3 linked regions of the Caenorhabditis elegans genome follow. The protein of the gene in region 3 purifies or fractionates together with the protein of the main gene of each other region. This does not show direct contact. Each region holds a gene or a part of one and is shown on either strand. Other genes may lie near its edges.

Region 1 (7,552 bases), on a different chromosome or scaffold from region 3:
TTTAGCCATAATCAGCGTGCTTTTTTTTTGAAAATTTCAAGTTCTTGAAATTGAACAGAAATTGTATTTTTTTTTTGAAAGGTTTTCACTCTCAACAATATAAAAATGCCCAAATCACGTGAATATCAATGGTATCCAACAGTTGACACTGATAAGAGATCAGTTTGTGATCGCAGTGGGACAAATGGGTGGTAGACATGTCTTCTGATAAGATAGAGGTCAAGTAGGTAGAATTGGTAGAAAGGAGGCATATTTCAGTGCTTTTTTTAAAAGCATTTTGAGACATAAAAAGATGCTCTAAGTTTAGAAGATTAATATAAAGAACCTACCAATATGGCATTGTGGACAGAGAATCGATCTTCTTAATGGTTCCATGAGATTCAATAACTTTAGTTTCTCCAGTATTCGTCATTTTCCTTGGTTCGTTTTAACCGTAGTTATTCTCTGTCGGGAACCACGAATCCGTTGTTTGATGAGATTCACCGACTGAAATTTGCTCGTATTAAGTCCGATTCTTTTATACAATCAGAGAAAAGGGCGGAGCGTTAAGGTGGCAAACGGTTGGTAAATTGGAAAAAAGAGAAGTCATAGAACTATCAATGTCCGCTAAATGTTCTTAATCTAAGCAAAAATGACAAGAAAATGAGAAACAAACGTGCTTCTGGCATAAAACCACTTGTTTTGTTCAATATTTATATAGAAGGAACATAGCATGCTGGGTCTCTCGTTCTCTCACTAAAGCGTTCGTCGTGGCACTCAGTGCACTTTTGCATACATGAAGCAATACACATTCTCAGCGGGGCGCCGATTCCTTCATAGAAATCGGATTCTTACAAAAGACAAAAAAGATAAATCGAAACATTTTTTGAAAATAGCGGTATTTGAAGCAGAAAAAGTGAGTGGGGAAGTCTTTTAATTTGATAACAAATGAGTATTAACAATATTTTGGTGCATGATGACCTGTGAACGATTTGGTTGGGTTGTTATCGGGGCAACAACAATAATGTTTTGCCAAAAATTTGCCAAATAGTTCAACGTGGAACTTCTCTTTGTTTGTCTTATGCAGTGATGTTTATATGGAGATGCCAGTGCCATGTTGTACGGTACCTGACACGATTAAAAATATGTCAACAAAAACAAGTGTACGCCTTTAAAGAGTACAGTAGTTTCAGCAGTTTGCTGATTTCTTAGTTTTTTATCGTTTCCTGTTTTTTAAGCTTCAATTTTTAATAAACAGTGAGTGTGAAAACTAAGAAAAATTGAACAACGGTACTCCTTAAAACCGCACTCCTCTCCTTTCACTGAAAATTATTGGCCGTTTCGAGACCGGGTACCGTAATTTTTAAACAGCGAAATTTAGCATTTAGGTATTTGCTCTATTATTCAACTTTGAAAATTCTGTTGTTTTCTCAAAACAAAATTTTTTTTTTGTAGTTTTTATAACATATTAAATATTTTCTGATATCTGCAGTCATATAAGTTATTTGGTGCAAGAGTAACTGAGAAAATACGGATGCGTTCTAGAAAAAAAGGATAAGTAAGAAAGTCGTAGATAGTTACTATTTGATAGTATCTCAAGAAAGAATGGGAAACTAAGCAAGACCTTGAACTAATCGTCATTTGAAGAGAACTTTAGCATAGTACGTTTTCAAACGAAAACCACAATTTCTCAATACTGCCTTCCCATCACAAACGAAAATTTTATCCTATAGGATTAAAACCAATTTTCAGTAGAACTACAACAAGATTCTGAAAAGTGCACTCAATGCTTTCACGAATGGGCTACAGCACAAGATGATAACTGTATGAAATAATCATGTAATGCACGATATCAGGCCATTTCAATTGGTCTTTTGCGGCGATTTATCACTGGTGATAATTGGAAGTTGGACAGATAAAAGTATAAGATTGAAAAGATTGAACCAACAGAGATTAATAAAATAACAAAAGTCGGAGATGATAGGCAACTCAGCAGCAAATTTAATTTAATTTTCAAAAAAAAAATTCATGTAGTATAATTTTCATTAAAAAAAATGGTTAGCAAGGAAAATGAAATGATTATGTTTCTTCGTCTTCAATAACTTCCAGCTTAATTTGACTTGTCAACTTTTTCAAATGTTTATCCGTAGCCTCGACTTGTCCATGCCATGCGTGCAGTTTGTTGGCCCATTCATCACTGATTCGAGGTTTCACTTCAACTACGCTGGCCGATTTTCTGTTCTTCTTGTTCGCAGGCGATGTGAATGATTCGTCACTGAATAATTTAATAATTTTTAATTGAAGAAAAAAACAAAAATCTTCACTTACATTTGGGAAGCAGTTATCGGAGCAGAAGTTTGTGGGATTTGTTCTCGTTTCACTTCAACCAATTTCGCATTTGCACGTTTTGGTGCCCGAATTCTTGCAACTCCCGATGTTCCCTGCTTGCCTACTTTACCGCCCAATGAATCTTCAGGTATTTCAGGCTTTATTCTGGCAGCATACTCATTTCGTAGAACTTCTTCAGCCAATGCATTATCGTCTAATAACTCTTCAGGATTAACTGTTGTCGTTTTTCTGCGTCGCCGTTGTCTTACAGGGCGATCAATCGGGCTGTAAAAATAGGTTATTATTTTGGGGTTAAACTGTAATTGCTTACATTGGAACCTGAGCATCATTATCATCCAAACATTCCTGGGCGATGTCACCAAACGTTCTTGCGGTAAGATGTTTGAAGTTTTCTGCAAAAGTTGAACGCTGACTTTTGAAAAAAAAAAACATATTTTCGTGTAATAAATGTACCTTCCATGTTTGGATCAAGATGCCTTCTTTGTCTAGTGTGTTTTAGTCCTTCAGCATATGCTTTACTTCTCAAAGTTGATCTGCTTGAACCAGCTGTTTCCTCTGGAGCGCTACTAATTTCTGGATTTGTTGGAGAACTTTCGAACTGTTCTTTATATTTTTCGACAATGCCCTTGATTTCGTGTAATGGTGATTTGAGCCCCGTTAGAGTATCACTTAGTCCAAGTTTTTGCTTAGCCTCTGTGTAAACTCCGTGAATAAATGATAATTCCGTCATAATATCAGAACTGAGCATTTTCGTAACACTGGAAAACGGCTCCTGAAACTGTTTATGAAAAAATTCCAATAATTTAACTTACTTACAACTGGAATTTTGTTAAAATAGGGCAACTCTTCCTCGGCAAGGTATTTTTTGTGGGTTGCCGGATCATATGTCGACTGAAACACTTTAATTCTAAACGCTTTCTTCAGAATAAGCATTTTGAGAGCCGCAATTGGTTCAAGAAGTTTTTCGACTTCTAAAGATTTTTGAAATTCGAGAAGCTCTTCGAATTGTACCGCAGTGACCGGAATCTGAATTAAATTTTTTAAAACTAAATTAAACTTAGAATTAATCACCTGACAGACATGATCAACTGGCTGCAAATTGTACAACGCATAGCAAACATAAACTCCGAATAGCCTCTCCTGAAAATATAACATTTCAGACTTATTTTTACTTCTATTTCAAACCTTGAATGCCCTGAATGCTCCAACTTCATTCACTTTTCCGAAATACATTGCTGCGTGTTGTAACAGGTATTCAGTAAACTGAAAGCCGGAATATTATAATAGACTAAATAAAATCAAAATAAAGCTACCTCTAAGCATTCGGCAGGATTTAATCGATAATGAAGAATGGTCTCAAAATGCATATCCCGAAAAACATCAGCAAAGTCTCGAATTCTTAATTAATCAAGATTTTCCATCAAATAATACATTTTCTAACTATACCTGTTGGATCCCATAGATATAAACTTGTTGCACAATAAATGAAGATCTTGTTTAACTCCAGTTCCCATAAATGGCGTGGGAATACCTCCAGAAGCCATTGCGACTCGTTTTTTCCTTGAATCTTCAGAAATAAATCCGAAAATAATTGACGAAAATAAAAACATGCAAGTGCGCTCTATCGTGAACAACCAATTCTCGGCGGGAACCAGCGGTATTCAACGCATTTCAAAATGAGTTGCGCCTCAATTTACCTAAAAATATTGTTTTTCAATCGTTTTGATATAATTTAGCTCAAAATATTCCCATAAAATTAGTTTAAATATATTCGCAATCAATTTTACGCTTTATTAAAACATCAAAAGCTATAGATCTGCGTGAAACGTTCTTATAAATCGTGTTGCCGTGAAAAATATTCTACTGATCGTTTTCTATCGAAACATTTTCATGTTTTCAGAAGAATCGAACTTCAATCAGTATGCCTGACGACGAGGAGAAGCTCCAATTACTTGCTGTAACGTTTTATCATTTCATCTATTACCAACTAAACCTAATATTTCAGGACGTTGAGAGGCTCAAGAAAATTCTCCGTCAAAAAGATGAAATGCTCGAGGAGATGGAAGACGATCTCAAAAATCAGGGAAAACCTTGTTCTTCCAAACTTTCACTCGAAGAACGTGCACAAGAATTGAGTGAACAACTTCGCGATCTTCATGTTGAGATGGACGGAAAAAACGCCACAATTCTTGATCGGGACGCTCTCATCGATTCACTGCGTAGTGAGATCGACAAACTCGAAAAAATTGTAGGTTTTCATCATTGTGGGCAACATTAATATATTGAATTCTCAGAATAAGGAGTTTGCCAACGGATCAGTGATTCCCGAACATGATGATTCCAATTCCTTCGGAGAATCTGAAATGCTTCGTATTAGCGAAGATTGTCAGAAATACAAAGAGACGGCGACTGCTCTTTACGAACGAAACGCCGAACTCGAAAAAGAAGCGGTCAACTTGAAAGATGAAATTGAGTCGATGATGGATCATATTCGGGACCTCAAAAATCATATGGAGACGCGTGATGAGGAAATTGCCAGATTGGAAGGAGAGCTTTTTGATGAGAGAAACTCCCATGAAGGAAAATTAGCGGCACGCGGAAATTCAATGTTTTCTGAGGTAGGTTAAAAAATATCAATTAACTGCATTTTTTTTAATATTCTTCAGGTTATTGATGCCGAGCGGAAGGTTGAAGAAGACCTGAAAGTTCTTCATGGAGAGAATCGAGCACTGAAAGGGATGGTAAAACGTCTTCGAATGGAAGTAGAAGAAGTCGAAGAAAGACTTCGGTCATCCACAAAAAGATTCAACGTTACCCGAATGACCACAAGTGATATTGATGTCAAAGAGATGCGTCGTCTCAGAGACAGAGTTTGTCACCTGGAAACGGAAAGGGTTCATTTGTGGGAAAGAATGTTCATTAAAATGAGGTCAATTCCAAAACGCGAAGTGGGAGCGTTGATTACCGGCTACTTCAAGTCGTTCGAATTGTCAATTGCGAGCGTGAAAGGAGGTTTTGACGGTTTGATGAAGGACAACGAAAAGTACGTGACAATTATTCGTGGATTGCAACAGGAAGTAGAAAATCTCAAAGCGGACATTGTGCAACTACAATTCGACAATAAATGTGCTCACAGAAAAGCTGCACCAGTTGTCAATAAGGATTTCGAGCACCCGCTTCTTGCTGCTCCTCTGAAAACTCTTAACAATGGACGACCATCATTCTTCATTAAACCGAAAAACGTGGAACCCATGCCTCAATTAGGGCATTCATTATCCAGTATTGCCGTTACGCCACAGGTAGATAAAAGTGCAACTTTTCACTATAAATAATTATTTTTCCAGAAACCAGCAGCTAAATTCACCACTCGTTCCTCCATCAAAGATGATACTTCAGAATGGGCAGAACGTCGTATGAAAGCTCAAGCTGAAAAGAAATTGGCGACTCCGACGCCGCGTTACAACTATATCAAACTGTCCGAGCCCGTTCCAAAATTCAAACCGGCTGTTCTTCAAATGCCATCAACCTCAGAAACAAAGGAAAACTGAGTAAACATCATGTTCGTAGTCATCTCGTATTCATATAAAACCGCCTGTATTGATCTCGTCCCCTCTATTCACCAAGTTTTGTCGATTATTCTACAATGTTTCCTATTTAATGCATGTCAAATAAAATTATTTTTATTATAACGCTCATTCTTAGATTGTTGATGTTCAAGAACTTGATAGAGCCGCTGGCGGGAGTGCAGTGGAGCGCGAAACCCTATCGATATTACACGATCACTTATTGATTTATATATTTTTAATATTTATTATTGTAAATATGGGGTAGAATATAGAAAAATATTTTCCAGATTTTCTCTTCCCTACAATCTTCGGAGATCTCGTATGGATATGCTTTCGATATAGGTTCAGTTCTTACTACTAGTAACATTTGAGAGAGCTTAAAATTTAAAAATTGTAAACCGTTCGAATTTGTTCTGGTGTGGGGTTCGCATGATATTGATCGTTTTTAATATTTACGATGATTTTTTGTGTTGTGCGAGGGTGTTTTAAAATTTGAATTTGCCGCCGAATGAAGTAGAACAAGAACGCAAATGCGCTCTGTGGCGAATGGTGTTCGACAAAAAGTTTTTAAGATCATTTTCTCAGCAAAATTTCGTTTCCTTTCTAATTTTTCCATTTCAGACATCACATTTCGTCCGGAAAGCAGATGCCGAAGAAGAACAATACAAAACGAGCACCACCAAGGTATTTTTATAACATTTTGATAAAAATAATTATCTAATATTTCGTTTAGTGTACCAAAGCCGTCCGGTCCGCCACCTCGATTACTTCAACTGACATCCTCAGATGGACATTTGTTGCAGGGAGACATCCGGGCCCTCCTCCTCTCAAGTACACTTGCTGCAACCATCAGAGAGCTAGGATATGACAAGGAATACTGTGCTGAATTAAAACCGGTACCTGTGAACAATGTTGTTGGATTTACATTAAAATTACTGATTGAATGGTGCGATAAACACAAAGAAGATGATCCTGCAATTGCACTGGCCGAGAAGGACAAGAAAAATATTTGCATTCCTTCCTGGGATAGACATTTTCTCAGTAGACTGCCAATGTCAAATTTGTTCGATCTGATTACTGCTGCATATCATTTGGACGTTACCGGACTTATCAATTACGGCTGCAAAACAGTTGCCAATTCTGCGAAAGGAAAAAATGCCGAGGAAATGCGAGAACTTTTCGGAATACCTGAACCATGGGAACAACCATCTACATCGACTGCTACATGGGATGATTAATTTTCTGTTACTATCTTCGATCTTCAAATATTTCAATTGCACAAAACCGGTATTATGGAAACAATCATTTCAGCCATGTCAAATTGCAATCGAGTTATTCTTTGAATACTATTTTTGTTTGTTATTTATTATATCTTTAAAATTGCATAGGATCGCTCAATGAAAATTACTTTATAAAAAATCACATTTGTATGTAGTTGAAATCATGGAAAAACAAGAAAATGAGTACTAGATGTTGCCATCAATAGAGGTTTTCCTAGGCGTCGGAAGTTTTCATCGCAATCATATGGATCTGAAAATTTTTTCCGGAAGTCATAATTTCTTGATGGATGCTTGAGTGACCGCCTCCAGTATTATATATATACCAGCCGTGGACCGCACCTCCGGCGCGGCCCCCGACTTCTGGAGCTGAAAACCAAT
Region 2 (8,345 bases), on a different chromosome or scaffold from region 3:
ATGCCAAATCTTTGATTTGTTTTTTTTCTTAATAAAGTTAAATTGATTTATTTATGATTTGAATCTATCTGTAAGAGCAAGTTAACTAGTAAAAGGTGATATTTGAATTCTGTTATGAGATGTTCTGAACATTGATCAAAAAACTATATCGTTTGAAACATTTGAAAAAATAGCCTTTTTTCAGCTAAAATCTTATATTTTGCCAGAAATATAAGATTTTAGCTATATATATATATTTTTTTTTTGTCTGGTGTTTTTTTTTGAGTATGACCCATTAATGCATATTTTTGTAACTTATTACGTGTTCTTTTCTTAATTAAGATGTATTTTCAGTAGACAAGTATGCAAATGTGATACTATTTTGTGGACCAATATACTGAAAATGTAACTAAATTAACGAAAAATGGGTAATAGATAACAAAAATATATATTAAAGGGCGGTAGTCAGTTTAAAATCAAGTTCCGTGTTTTACAACACTGACGGCATTTTTTCCAAAACTTTAAACATCCATACTTTTTTTAACAGAAGGTCTAAGAAAGTTGGTAGTTTGGGATTATTTTGGTTCTGAAAAACAACGCCTCAGGTTTGGGTGAAAAAAAGAAACGTATATACATACAATTATGAAAAAAGTTTTTTGTTACAAGTCAAAATTGAAACATGAAATCTTGGATTTCTATCTCTTATTCATGCGTGTCTTGAATTGATTACCCCTCTTCGCCTCAACTTTGTTGGCTCCTTGCTTTTGACCATTGAGCATTGTGTCAATTTTGGCAACTCTCGGACCTCTGCAGCCAGAAAAATACATTTTCTCGCCCTCCCCTCTTTCCGTTGTCTTCTCTTCAATTCGACGATGACAAAGAAAGAAATCTTTTCATTAGGTTTGGCTTTGCGAGAAGTGTTGGAATGAAGATGAGTTGAGCAGGAGACACTTCTCGTTTTCTTATTCATTAACGCTTTCATATGCCATGAAATCGATTCTGATGCTTTTTTTCGTGTAACATCTCATTATGAGCGGAAATGTTTGTTGAAGGTGCACAACTTGTTGATATCACGTTTCAAAAATTGTTTGCTTTTTGGTTTTCTGAAAAACAATTGTAGAATACCCCCAATTCTTACTTTTTTCTTTAACACTAAACACGCAAAGTTGTTAACACTATACTAATTAATGAATTCATGCCCAACCAATGACTTACGCACATTATTTTGATATTCACCGTTTGAAAGTTGAGTTTAAATTACAGTTTTATTAAGTTGGCAAGAAAGTCCTGTCCTATTTTTCAATCATTTATTTCTCGAAGCAAACTAAAACAAGAAATCAGTTATATGTTCCATCATGATCAACAACGTCCTGCCAACGTTGAGGTAACTTGTGGATCCCCTGCCTGTAGAATCCAGCGGGCAGGGACTCGAAGTATTGCTTGATATCAGATTTGAAATTTTCTCTTGTTTTGAAAGCTATACCTTGAAGGGCAAGAGTCAGATCGGAGAAAAGCCAATAATCACTTAGAGCAATGTCAGGAAAATTCGGTGGTAGAGGGAGAATCACCCATCCATATTTTGTCAGATCCTGCACCACTTGTTTTAAAACATGTGGTTGAGAGTTTTTTTTTTTTTTAATTTTTTTTCAATCGTTAAGGTCTCAACAAAACACTATTCAGTCAACGTTTTGGTAAATGTCCGAAATTTGGAAAAATTGTTAGAATTTCCCCTTCTGGCGTCAGACCATTTTTGATATTTGCAAGTTAATTTTTCGTTCAATTACTTTAAAAGGAATAGTGTGCCATCTAAATTGCAAATGACTCTCCAGACTTTTTCACGTGTTTCCAACAAAAATATTGAAAAGACAACAAAAAAAATTAAAAATGTTGGGTACTTTTAATTGAAATTTAAAACTGCTGTGAAATATTTTAAAGACATTTATATTAAATTGTTTTTGGGCTCAAAATATTTTTAAGGAAAAAAAAATTAAAACAAATGTCTTTGAAAATATTTTCTTAACTAATTTTCATTAACAAAACTTTTTATTCAGACATATTCAGACGCGATGCTGTTGTGAAATTTTTGATGATTCTTTCGAAAAAAAAATCAAACGAATTATATTTGAGTTAAATTCTATCAGCAAATGTTCCAACGGGCAGTTCCATCACTCAGCTATATCTGTCAACGCGTTTTCTCTTTCTCCTTTTCTTCAAAATGTCAATACTCAAGTGGCGTCCAGCACTCTTTTTGCTATACTACATATGCTTTGCTACTATAGCAACCAATTGCTTTTTGACTTCTTGAGAGGGAAACGGAGAAGAGGATTACCTCTCTTCATCAGTTTGTTTTTTTTTCCTTTTTCTTGAGTAGCTGATTCATCAAAAAATTTTCGGTGGTTGAAACAGAAAAGCACTTTCAAACCAAACAATGAAAACCGGCAGAAGAGTTGCCTTGATATTTGTTTTAATGAAAAAGCACTGTTTTTATATTACTTTTTACAACTGGACAGAGCCTGAGACAAAGATGAGCAAATTGCGAGGAAAAGATTTTGAAATAAGATTGTGAGCAAGAAGTTACACAAACTGCTTGGTCTTTCACTCAAGTCTTTGTTTCACCTGCTTTCTCATTTTGTTAAATTTCACCTGAAGTGTTCCGTTGTATTTTGATCTGCAAAAGAACTGTTTTGTTCTGAAAGAAACTGTTATAAGAAAAACACCTGTTGTGTTTTGAGATTTCATTAATTCGCAAAAATCAAAAATTTTCATTGATTTTTGGATGGTTCTTAATTAAAATTTTTTATTCAATTTGCGATTTGGAATCTAAATTTTTTAAATGCATAGTTTTCCTGGTATATTTTGTAAATTTTTTTAGTTTTGCGAGAATTTGAATCCACAAATTTTGAATCAACAAAGTTGATAATTTTCCGAGTTGTTTTGTTGATATTACTGTTAAAATTTCAAAATTTCAAGAAAAAATTTATAACAATTTTTGGCAAATATTTTTGAAACAACTTTTTATTAATTTATTTATTTTTCCAAAAATTCGATTTTCCCGTTTTACACAGAACATTTTCGAAACTGTTGTACACAAAACAATATACCATCTTAAATTAACTGGACGTCTCATTATTTCAACATATTGACTTCTGGCGTCCTTGCAACCCGAATCAATGCGTCTCCCGCGCATCTATTGTTGATTCATTGAAGTTATGCAGAAACTGGTGGATGAGATAGCGCTATTCAGATGTAGATCGCAGACGCTTCTTACTGTCTCTCCTCTATCTCGGGTTCTCGTTTTCCCACATTTCCACGACGGCAATACGATCTAACAAGAAGAGGAAATGGGAGAGAAATGACAGGTAGAGACTGCTGTATAGCTATCCTTGTTTCTAAATATCTTAGGAATTGGTAGTCAGACAACATTTTTTGTTGTACATAAGGTATTTGAAAATGAAAACAGTTTTATTGAATAAAAAATTCGAGCAAGTGCAAAAAAAAACCAATTCAAAACTCATTCATACATTTCTAAACAAGTCGAAAAGCAAGTAGATATCCCATCTTCAAACTTGAATTATTTTCACTTTTCCCTCTATTCTCAAGTCAAAATGCAAATGTTTCCCAAGAGATTTCTCTGTTGGCCTCAATCCTCATGTTTTCTGTGCTATTTTATATATAATTTGAAATTTTTTTTTTTTGAAAGCGCAAACTTTACTTATTAAAATTTCTGTATTTCAGCTTTTCACAATGCCGGGAAGTATATCAAGTACTCCGGAGAGTCCAGATATAATGCGTTTTGTAGTATCAGTTGGTTGTCTCGTTTTTTCACTTATGCTCACGTCATTTGGAATTGTTAATAATGCTTGGATTGTTTTGGACAGACCAAACGAAAACGATGAGTTTCAGGTAAGTAATTTTGTTAAATTTCAATTGAGAAGAATAGGGTGTTTAAGTTGTTATACTTGAATAATTAAAAATATATTTCAGAGAGGAATTCGAGGACACGATTGTTACCGTAACAATGCACCAGGAAACGAGAACATCTTCTGCCTTCCATGGGATTTTGAAGATAAAGCGGAAAAGTTTCCAGATCCGTTTACCAAAGTGTTGGCCGCTTCAACTGGTACGTTGTTTGAATTTTGCCAAAACTCCCGATTGCCGAAAATATGAAAAATTTCCAAATTTCTCTATACGAAAAAGTTCACGTTTCAAGCTCAATGTGTCTCAAATCTCAGTTTTCTGAATCTGTTTTCTGGAACACGACTGAGATGACAAATTGTGCCAACATTTACTTTTTTGTTTTCAAAATGTAGTCACGGATGAAAATTGGCAATTTTGGCATCATCAAAAACTGTCAAAACAACCGAAAATTAACATTTTCAACAATTGCTCAAATTTGAGTCGGCGAAAGTTTTTAGAAACCAGAAATTGTGGAAATCTGTTTTTTTGATTGATTTAAAATAATTTATCATAATAATTAAACATTAAGTTAAGTTAAATAAATAAATCAATCAATAATTAGGCATGTAGGTCGTCCCAATTGTTTTTTGGCCTGCATTGCAGATCTCGATAAGAATTATCTGAAAATAAGGAAACGATAAACAAACGTTTTAAGTTTTTTAACTTTAGTTGAAAGTGTTTCGATGTGGCTGTAATAAAAAATAAAGGTATTATTTAAAAATATATTATAAGTTTATTTTTCTCCACTAAATATTTATTTTTCAGTTGTTCGAGTGACATTCCACATTGCTCTGGTCATATTGGCGTTTCAAATTTTCTACCTCGCATATACCATTGGACACTGTTGTAGCCAGTCATTTACAGAATTGACAAAAAAGCGAAAACTCGCATTTTTCCATGCAATGCTCGTTCCAGGTGCGGTTCCAAAACGTGACTACAAACTATTAATGCTTATTTTTGCAGTTGGCCTTTGGATTATTCTCCTACTACTTGTACTTTACGAAACTTACACTGATAATCTTCTCCCATTGTCTCTGAGAAAAGAAGATGTAAGATTTTTACGATGATTCAAAGAAAGTATAAAGTTACTTCATATATTCCAATCGAAGCAGAAGGGTTTCTAGCCTTTAATTCAATAAGCTGTTTGTTCAGCGAAGCGTACTATGAAAATTATTTTTAAGTGTTTTGGTATTGCAACGAGTGTTCTTTGCAAATTTAATAGTCTTTTTTCGAAAGGGTGTATTAGAATCATAAGCTGAAGTTATCTGACGCAAATATGATAAAAATAAATCGTTATGATTTTTACGATTACTTTTTTTAAAAACTTCATACTGAGGAAAATAAAGTTATAATATATTTTGAAGTACTTTATTAAATTACCAAAATCTCTTGTTTTCATCAATAATTTTTCACCCACAAAAAATGTCTACGAAAAAATGAACATTGAAAAAAACCAAAACGTGATGTAAGGTCTGAAAGGTTACCAGCCCACCAATAATTGGAGAATTCTAGGTCATTATAAGCAAATATATAAGTTGTATTTAGCTGAATTCTTCCACTACTCAATAACCTACATACATTTTTAAGACAGAACGCATAAATTATTTTGATACTTCAAATTTATCAAAACGTTATTGATATCAGAAAATTATAGAAATTTCCTAGCTTTTTACTAAAAAAAAAAGTGTAGACGAAATTTGAAAGTTTGAGTTTAAAGAAACATATTTTGGTAAAACGAAGCAAAAAACATATTTTAACTGTTTCCTAGCTAATTAATTCTTGTTATTCAAAACGATTTTATTTTCAGTACAAATACAAAATCGGATCCGGCTTTTGGTTTTTCTTCCTCGGTGGCCTACTTCCATTTATTGGAGCACTCTACTTCTTGTTTAGAGAGCAGATGGATGCATCGAAAACTCGTCTTAGAGGACTTATCAATCGACATCAGCCAATACCATCAAATGTGAACGAGAGTGACCGTGACGGGGTAGAACTGGTCAGGACAAATCATGGAGGAAGGGTGTAGCTTGAGTCTTGCTCAGCAAAATATTGTCAATGTTTCTGAAGCTTTATGTATTTTTACCGATGATTTTATCTAACAAGGAAAGGTTTTTATTTTCCCGTCCCGACAGACATCAAAACGAGAGATGTGCATTCTGCACTCTGAACTCCAACCGTTTTGATCTGAAATTTTTTTCTCTACTTTCCAGCCAGTTTTGGCAGACTTTCGACATTTAAGGATGTTTATGGGTAAATTATCATTTCGGAAATTTTAGTTTTTGAGTGGTACTGAGCCGTTTTCGATTTGATGTCTGAGGGTTGAAAACCTTTCCTTGTAGTTCTACATTACACTAACAATGCTCAAATTTTGTTCAGTCCCGCCGAATTCCAGATCTCAATTTGTTTCTAAATGTATTTTCAGAAAAAATAAAAACATTTTCAAATGATGACGCAATACATATTTATATCTAGAACGGGATCTTCGAGGACTGGAAAATACGTCGTTTTTAGTGTCTCAATCACGCTGCCAGTGATTCCCAAGTGGCCCTCGCAAGCTCGTTTACATACTGATGGGAGCTAAGAAAAGATGCGGAAGAAACACAAAGAAATTCAGAGTATTGTTCTACCATCAATCATGTTTGAGGCATGAAGCGCTACTTTTCGGTGGAAGTTTATCGGTATTTGTTAAAAGAGTGGATAAAAACACGTCACTTTAATTCACTTCATTTTTAAATAAACACAAAAAAATCAAAATAGAGCGGTGAACCGCGAACAAGGACATAATTGATGGCGGCAGACGAATGCGCGACAGCAGAAGCACACCTTGCGATCCTCCTCCAAGTCTATAGTCTCCTCAGGATCAACTTCTGCTCGGTCAATCATTGCGATAAATTTACTGCATACTCCTGAAAGTTAAACAATATTTATAAATGCTGAAATTAATGTGTTAAATATATGTTGTTGGTACTTTAAACTACTTTTACTTCCTACATATTTCAATTTCAACATCACTCTTTTCACTTGTCAAGTCAAAGTAACTAACTAACTCCCACACACACACATACTTTAAATTGAAATATTGCAAGTACAACATGCAGCATGAGAAAAAAGTATCGTAAAACAAAGTATGAAACATTTTCAAACTATGAAAAACGTACCTGCAAAAAGGCAAGCAATCAGAAGAAGTGTGATGAATTTAGGTGACATAGTAAATCTTGTCAAGTAAATACCAAACAAATTGGGTGCAAAAAGAACTTAATAGAAGTCAAGAGGGACAAGTCAAAGTGACGAAAAAGGCGTGTGGCTCCCACTCGAGTTCACAGCTACCCACAGATACCAATTTTAGAACTAGGCCCCGCCTCTCTCCTAAGAAATGGGGTTGAGTTGAAATGCATGGCGTCACTTTTGGGTCTAAATGTGGTGCAGTAAAGTATTAAATGTAGTGTTTATGAAAATAACAATTTTACATAGAAAAGCTGAAGTAACCTGGAAACTTTGAGCAAAATAAAAAATATTTACACCCTTTAAAATGACTCGACTAAAGTTTAAGATTATATCTTCGTAAACTTGGGAATCTATAAAAAGAAAAACTAAATAAAACGATTATTGATAACCTGAGTAATATTTAAAACTGGTTAAAAAACGTCGAAAGTCACTGAAACCCTCTGAATAAATCAGATTTTTTAATTGATTTTGATTCCAACCAGTTGCCAAAAATACTTCCAGAAACATCTCTGAAACGTGTTTTATAGAATAATAGGAAAACGCGCTAAAACACGGTAGCTGCTTGTGATATACACTCATATTTTCAAGACTTAATTTTAGCCATAATTTTTTGAAACACCAATTCTCATTCCTAAAGTCTAGCGAATGACAGCTTTTTAGCAACAAATAATCTAAAAAATTGCTAATCAATAGATCTAATATCTTAAAAAATAGTTCAAAATGATTTTCACAGAGTGAAACTTAGATTTTTAACTACAGAATTACAAATAATTCTAAAAGTTTTCGGTGGCATTAAGCGTAGAATAGCGCGATTGTGGAAAATTGATAAAAATCTATAGTGCCAAAATGGCCAAATAAAAATTGTTTCAAATTTCATGGTCTACCTATGTTTTAAATAATAATATTCAAACATTTTATTCGCTCGAACATGCGACTGTGCTATTTTTTCTCAAAAAGTGATAAAAACTTAGTAATTTTCACTTTTTGTGTGTCAATTTTTTGAATATGTGCAAAGAGTTTTTGAAACTTTTTACTATGATATTTGATAGTTTTGGTACTATAAGAGTGGTAGTTCAGAAAAATTACCCCACTGCCCCTACTCCACCATAGACTAATTTGCTAGTTAGAAACCAAAAATACAATGTTTCAAAAAATATGTTATAAAATACAAGAAAAATACAAGG
Region 3 (6,774 bases):
TCAGGAAATTCTGGCAAACAGAGCAGCTGATCGCGTTTTCGCTTATCGGGAGACAAAATATCGAGTTGGAACTGCAGCAGATATGCTTGGAACAGCAACTGGAGGAGCAACTGATTGGATTAAAAAGAATACTCCGACAAAATATGTCTATGTACTGGAATTGCCACCTGATATGAAAAGTAAGAATTCGTTTAGATCTTCCATGAAAACTAGAATAACATTCAATTTCAGCTTGGTTCGCATTCCAAGTCAAACCACATTGGCTTATTCCAATTGGAAAAGAGACATGGCTTGGAATTGAAGTAATATTCGATCAGGTAGTTGAGGAAACCAAGAACTTTCAACCGACTGAACCAACTACAAACGGAACATCAGCAGACAGTAGATCTCCTCGATTCAGACAGCTATAACAAACAAATCAACACGTGTCTTTGGACGACGACGAACTTGTCAAGAAGCGGGTTTCTACCATTTTTGTCTTTGTTAGACTTGAAATCAATAAACTTAATAACAATGTATTAAATACCAGTGAAACGACCGGATGATATGACAGGATATAACAAAAAATTAATAAAAATTTCAATTGGACGATGTAGATGGCTGGTTGTCCTTCGTAAAGTTGATTAATTCGACTTCAGATGCAACTTCAGGGATCGCATGAAAACGGGTACGGAGTGGATCCACGAACAGTTGAACTGCCGCCATAACGTTCGGAGGATAGTCTTGCTCACAGAAGCGGTAATTGCCTTGTTGACATTCACTGAAAATACCGGCAAGAATAGATTTCTCAGTATCTGGAGTTGTCGTAGCTTCGGTTTCGATAGTGTCTAGTACTTTGGAGACAACTGCCGCTTCTGAAAATAAAACTGTAGCGCTGGTTAAGTTCCCTCAGAGTTAGAATTATTCTGGGTTTACTGACCAAGTTCATTGAGCGCTGGCATTTGCTCTTCCAATGTGGCACATGCTTTCATGAATCTGTAAATGACTGGCCATCTTATATTTTGAGAGTCAGTTCTTGTAGCTTTTGCGGTGAGAAGTTTGGTCACCACCGCATTTTCGTGAGTTTTAGATTCTAGAGCGAGATTCTCGAAGAGTGTCTGAAAATTTGAGCATTTTTCAATTGCTGACTAATAAAATATAAAACCTCATAAGTATCTCTAAGAGAAGGTAGGGTCTTGTTGATTGATCCATGATGATGATCGACTATTTTTCCCATGATACTGCTCCAGTCGTCATTTGGATCCACTTGGCAAAATGGTGGAGGAGTGATATTATGATGTCCTGCTTCGATCCATTTATTTTTGTAACACTCAGGGAGAATAATCTCTTTGTGTTCCTTGATAATCTCTCGAATCTCGTCAATTTTCGCCCTGAAAAAGAATAATGATTAAATGTTGAACATATATTTTAAAAACTTACTTTATCTCTTCGATAGATCGTTTTTTTACAATGTTTCGGTGAATATAGTTTATGGCTTCAATTTTGGTACCATACTTCATCACTCCATCCAATAAACTTCTCAAGTCGTCACTGGACCAATTGCCACCATTGAAGCTGCGACCTTCTGCGAGAATCTACAAAATTTTACATTTTTAAATAGTTTATTTTATTAGAAAACTGACTCTGTCCAGTGGTGATGGTTCTTCGGTTACAGTATGGTTTGCGACTTCAAAAGCCATAGAGCTACCGGGAATTTCATTTGTGGGATCGCCGTCGGTTTCCATGGCTAAAATTTGAGTTTTAAGTTAAGTTTAATGTGCGAAAAAAAATAATTATGGCCTCGATTTAGGAAAGAATTGAAGAAAATTGAATTGAGGAAAATTCCTTTCGCTTTGAAATGTGATGTAGATTTACGATAAACAAGGCGCTGTTGCGAAATATCGGAGTGTCGTTTGAACCAGTTGTTCAGAACTTTTTATTTTATTTTTCTTAATTTCCGTCTTGTTTTCCGATTTTGTTTATTAATATTTTAATTCCAGGTTGAACCAAAATGAAGTTGGCATTAAGACTTCTTCGACCAGCTGCCAACCAAAATATTAAATCTCCGAAACTGTGGCAGGATCCAGTGCTTGGATATTTTGAGACTCACGGTAAAACTTTTATTTTATCGATTTATTTTTCATAATTTACTGTTAACTTGTAAAATAATAATTGTTCTGTATAGGAAAGACCGAATTTCTGCCAGGACATGAATACAATCTGAGCGACGAGGAGAAGAAAGCAGTTTTGTGGAGGTAATACGAAAAACGCTTTTTGCTTAAAAGTTTTTAAAAAAATTCTAAAAACAGTGAGAAACATAGTTTTAATTATATTCTCAATTTAAAATTATTTAATTCTATTGAAAAATCAATATATGATAACATTTGCGTTGATGAACACTTATTTCAAGTGATTTATTAGCAATAGAGACAAAAAAAAACAGTTTCTTGATATAATTTACAGAGTATCAAATCAAAAATTGCTTTAAAAAAACTGTTGCGATAAAATTGGATATTAAACACTGAATTAACATAAATTCAGTTTTTAATATCCAACTTTATGATAAAAAAACTACATTTTATTTTTAAAAAATTACTTTCAGATATCGTGTCAAGGAGATTTTGAAGAAGGAATATCTCCGTCGTGAATACGATCCTCATAGCTTCAAGTACAAGGAGGGAGTCACCATGGATCCAGCAATGTTCCGTTGGTATTCTGCTGATATGACTCAAGCCGAGTTCTTCCGTTTCACACCACGCACCGTATTCCTGTACGTCGGAACCGTTTTCGCTCTCTTCTACATTTACACTCGTCTTATGTTTGTCCCAATGGACAAGTCGAATGAAGCATGTTTGGATGGAAAGCTTCTTTGGTGGGATCGTCAACAAGGAAGAACTCTACAAACCGGAGGATCCGGTCTCTTTGCTCCAACCATCGGAATCGACTTCTAATCGTCTCGATCTATCTGTTTTCTTAAATTTACTTTTAGATCCGAATGTAAGCAACTTTTTCTCGATTTTTGTTTTTTTTTAGCTGTGTCGTTATCCTCGTCAAATAAAATTCAGATTTTATTAATGTAAACACTCGTAAATTTATATAAAATAACATTGATGCCTGATGAATTAGATTCCGTAAAAATATGTGTGGAACAGACATCACAGAGAAAAAGAATGAGAAATTTGTGCCTGACTTTCGAGAGAGTTCAAGGGAATTTTTAAGAGAAAAATGGGAGCTGAAACCGTACAATCGGGACGTGTAATTTATAAAATAATATAATAATGTGAAAATCAATAATATCTGCCTGACTGCATTATATCGAGCTCTTTTTTGTGATTTTGTCTTCGAATCACTAGTGCTGTGGAGACAACTGTTAATGATACAATTGTGATAAGAATAAGGGGAAGAACTGGAAGAAGTAGTCGTGGAACACAGAATGGAGAAGGAGCAAGGAGCCCACGATCTGCTGGATCAAGTACAAGAAGTTCTGATGTTGCTACGTCGATCTAAATATTTTATTGTTTTCATGTTAGGAGGATTAAAAAAATATATAATCCGGAAACAATCTATGATTACCTCATAATCAGACCGATCAGCTTCTCTTTTTGTTCGATTTCCATCACCACTTGCTTCACTCAGCAATTTCTTGACTCCACAGTTTGGTGGCTGAAAATCAAAAATAAGTATTTGCTTCAACAATCTTCGAACTCTATTACCGTAACTTCCTGGCACATTCCCATTTGTTTCTGACACAATCTTATCTGACAAGTGAAATATAATTGATTTGAGTCTGCATATTTGAAAACTTGACTTGATGCATGAGCTCGCATAAGTGAAGCATCGTAAGACAGCTCACTGAGCAAGAATGGATCAGTTGCACAGCCATCAAAGTCAACAACAGCATGATCTTCTCCGTCTCCATCTGTTACAAAACACTTTTTGACAAGCATTCCCATATCAGCCGGTGTACATTCCCATACATGAAATACAATATCTCCGACATTGGCATATGTTAAAGTTGGACCATTTGGACCATCACGACGAACTGAATACTCGCATTTTGGCATTACCATACTGTCAGATAGTTCAGTCGTTGGGATCATACTGAAAATTAATTTTTTTGATTATTTTTTTAATTATTTGTGTTTGAAAATTCAAATATCATCAATGCTCCGAAATACGCAAAAAGTTCAATTTGGCAATTTGCAAGAACATAGACTTGAAAAAAAAATTTAAGAGTTTCCGATAATCTTATCTGGTGAGTTCAAAGATTTTTCACCCTCAAATACTAAACACTGAAAAGTATAGAATCTCAATGTAAAATTATTGAAATAAAATGTTAAAACTTCAGTATCTTTTTCTTAATACATATTACTGATTTAAAATTAAACTTGCAGTTCCTATCAGTGTTGCACTCAAAATGAAAAACTGAAAAATAATTATTGAACGCAATAGTTGAAATGAGGCATATTAAAATAAACGATTACCTACCTAACATCAATATTCTGAGTAACAATCTCATCTGGTTCCATATAGAAACATTTAACATGGAATGCCCTATCATTTTTTGTGATGAATCCAGCTGGATGGAATGATACAATGACTGTGACCATAAAATTGACGCCTCGAGGATTTGCCTGAATAAAAAAAAACATCTCACAAAATTGTCGTTTTCGGTCCATTTACCGATCGTAACCGTTGCATTCCACATTTTCCAAGCGGCAATGAGTATGAGTTTGTTCCATTGTTCGCATAACTTTGTCGACATGACTTGTCTTTCGCTCGTCCCTTTACAAAAATATTTCCACGAAATGGTTTGGAGGTGACAATGTCGAGTGCCAGATCATTTTCCGCGCATATTACCTTGGGTGTACCTGTAGAAATAAATGAGAGGGGAGCTCTGTTTAATACGCTTTACACGACCACTTCCGCACCTCATTATTCTCATTTTTGTTGTTCTTGAAGGTCGTTTTTTTGCGGTTAGATTTAGTGGATTTATCTTGTAATTGCTTTGAGACTTGCAAACTTGTAGACATGGATTATCGCACGCTTTATAATTTTTTTTGTATTCAGAACATTGAACTCTTTCTCTCTATATAATTATCGCTACTTAGGCCGAAGTGTAGGGAATGGGGTCAGTAGTCGCAACTATTTGATCTGCCTGTGGATTTTTTGCTTAAAAAGGATATATTACTGTAGCATACACGTTTTGAAGATGCAGAAAATGATTAATGTTTTCTTAACAACAAAACCGGTGTAAGATCGGTCTAGGCAAGTTACAACTTTTGTTTTCTAAAATGTGTAAGACCAAAAAAAATTTTTAACGAATTTCATACGGCTTTTTGAGAATTTGTCTGCATATGTCAGATTAGTTTTGCTGTAAATTGAATTTTTTGAAATATACGGTACCCGGTCTTGAACCGATCGGAACTTTGAATCTATCCGCAGCAATTTTCCACAATGTTTACTCATTATTTCCAAATATTTTACGTATTTTTTCCAAAAGTTTAAAGTTTGCAACATGAATTGGGAAACTGCGGGTACTGTAGCTTCGACGTTTCGGTCGTGCCGAGACCATTTTTTTTGTGAACGGCTAATAAAATTTACTCTGGTCATAGTGTCTTTTAAGTGATAATTTTGCAAGCTTCGAGTCAAAAACCGTGATCAGAGATCAATATCACATATTATATATTCTAGAATTCAAAACAAAATTCATCTGGTGAACTGCAGTTTTCTGCCTCTGGATAATAGTAGATTAATCACAAGTTAGAATAAACTGTTCAATTTTAAAAAACTTTAAAAATTTCAGTAAAATGAAAATTGAACTTACCTATTATAGAGTTATCAATATAGTTGACCACTTTCGTTTGTCCTATCACTTTCTCTAGCATTGAGCATACCAAAAGAAATCCTAACCTCAGAAGCATTGTGTCTGTCTGTAATAATAAAAAAATCTTGAGGAAGTACAAGAATAAGTAGTTGTAACGACACACGTTCAAAACTAAATTAAATGCTCTTCTTCTACTTCATCTGGGGAACCAAACAAATGTGGGAGGAGCATAGGTGGTAACTAGTACGACCAGAATACGGGCGGGACGCATGATGACGTTCCCGGGCGGGACAAGAAGACATGATCGCTTCTCAATTAAGCTCGTGTTTTTAAGATGGACGGAACGAAGAGAAATCCTTGCGGCGGGCGGTACTTCTTCCGAAAACTACGAGAAGAACTACATATTATTCGGGAAAAAGAGTTTCTGTGTAAAGGTCAAACTGTGGAGATGAAGAGAAAGAGAGGAGCGATGGGAAAAAAATACGATGGACAGAAGGGTTCACGGTGAAAATGGATAATTACATGGACAGCCGAGACTCGAGAATAGGTCAATTGAGATGGAAATGTATGACGCCTGCTGCTGCCATACAAAAGGTGAATTGGTTAAGCTCGTAAGAAATGACAGAGTATTTTGATTTGAGAAATAATATGTAGACAACACCTGCATTCAGAAGCCCAGGACACTTAATTTGAAAGTGAAGTATTTTGATTCTTAACTGGATATTATGAACCACTTTGAACATCATCTCATATACCCTGTGAAAAAATGAAATAAGGAGAAAAAGTCTATCAAAATACAATAGGGAATTTTTTAACCAGAAAATCAGAGATTTGATCATATAATTCGAGAATAAAAGCAGACCAGCACGTCATTTTAATGTTTCAGAGTTTTTGAGCAAATATTATAAAAGTTCACTACAACCCTAAAATGTATACAATGTTTTTTAGAAGTAACAGCTTGCGTAATT

The links. Proteins that work in one complex are often made in the same cells at the same time.
Region 1: the proteins of tofu-5 (region 3) and snpc-1.1 purify together in Caenorhabditis elegans (affinity purification with mass spectrometry, with the first as the bait; one study listed by BioGRID). This does not show direct contact.
Region 2: the proteins of tofu-5 (region 3) and T22E5.6 purify together in Caenorhabditis elegans (affinity purification with mass spectrometry, with the first as the bait; one study listed by BioGRID). This does not show direct contact.

What each region holds. Positions count from the first base shown.
Region 1 is NC_003280.10:7,777,338-7,784,889, forward strand, and holds snpc-1.1 (snRNA-activating protein complex subunit 1), read right to left. Parts: upstream 3,965-7,552; 5' UTR 3,873-3,964; coding exon 3,775-3,872; intron 3,727-3,774; coding exon 3,642-3,726; intron 3,592-3,641; coding exon 3,514-3,591; intron 3,469-3,513; coding exon 3,400-3,468; intron 3,355-3,399; coding exon 3,145-3,354; intron 3,101-3,144; coding exon 2,782-3,100; intron 2,721-2,781; coding exon 2,639-2,720; intron 2,593-2,638; coding exon 2,308-2,592; intron 2,255-2,307; coding exon 2,059-2,254; 3' UTR 1,960-2,058; downstream 1-1,959. Other genes in the region: mthf-1 (putative methylenetetrahydrofolate reductase (NADPH)), read right to left, coding at 330-412; Spindly-like protein spdl-1, read left to right, coding at 4,250-4,285, 4,334-4,576, 4,623-4,946, 4,995-5,627, 5,673-5,876; skr-17 (Skp1-related protein), read left to right, coding at 6,541-6,578, 6,628-7,132.
Region 2 is NC_003284.9:6,411,779-6,420,123, reverse strand, and holds T22E5.6 (uncharacterized protein), read left to right. Parts: upstream 1-3,716; 5' UTR 3,717-3,723; coding exon 3,724-3,882; intron 3,883-3,963; coding exon 3,964-4,099; intron 4,100-4,701; coding exon 4,702-4,851; intron 4,852-4,899; coding exon 4,900-4,985; intron 4,986-5,743; coding exon 5,744-5,962; 3' UTR 5,963-6,386; downstream 6,387-8,345. Other genes in the region: K10C2.12 (Ubiquitin-like domain-containing protein), read left to right, coding at 1-15; nssp-78 (Accessory protein 7b), read right to left, coding at 6,685-6,842, 7,095-7,143.
Region 3 is NC_003279.8:7,064,392-7,071,165, reverse strand, and holds tofu-5 (Twenty One u-rna (21U-RNA) biogenesis Fouled Up), read right to left. Parts: upstream 1,727-6,774; 5' UTR 1,725-1,726; coding exon 1,623-1,724; intron 1,575-1,622; coding exon 1,420-1,574; intron 1,371-1,419; coding exon 1,145-1,370; intron 1,098-1,144; coding exon 920-1,097; intron 855-919; coding exon 580-854; 3' UTR 501-579; downstream 1-500. Other genes in the region: W01A8.6 (Peptidase M14 domain-containing protein), read left to right, coding at 5-179, 232-410; nuo-6 (NADH dehydrogenase [ubiquinone] 1 beta subcomplex subunit 4), read left to right, coding at 1,991-2,090, 2,165-2,234, 2,582-2,930; cutl-6 (ZP domain-containing protein), read right to left, coding at 3,267-3,482, 3,553-3,642, 3,693-4,080, 4,468-4,613, 4,663-4,850, 5,807-5,903.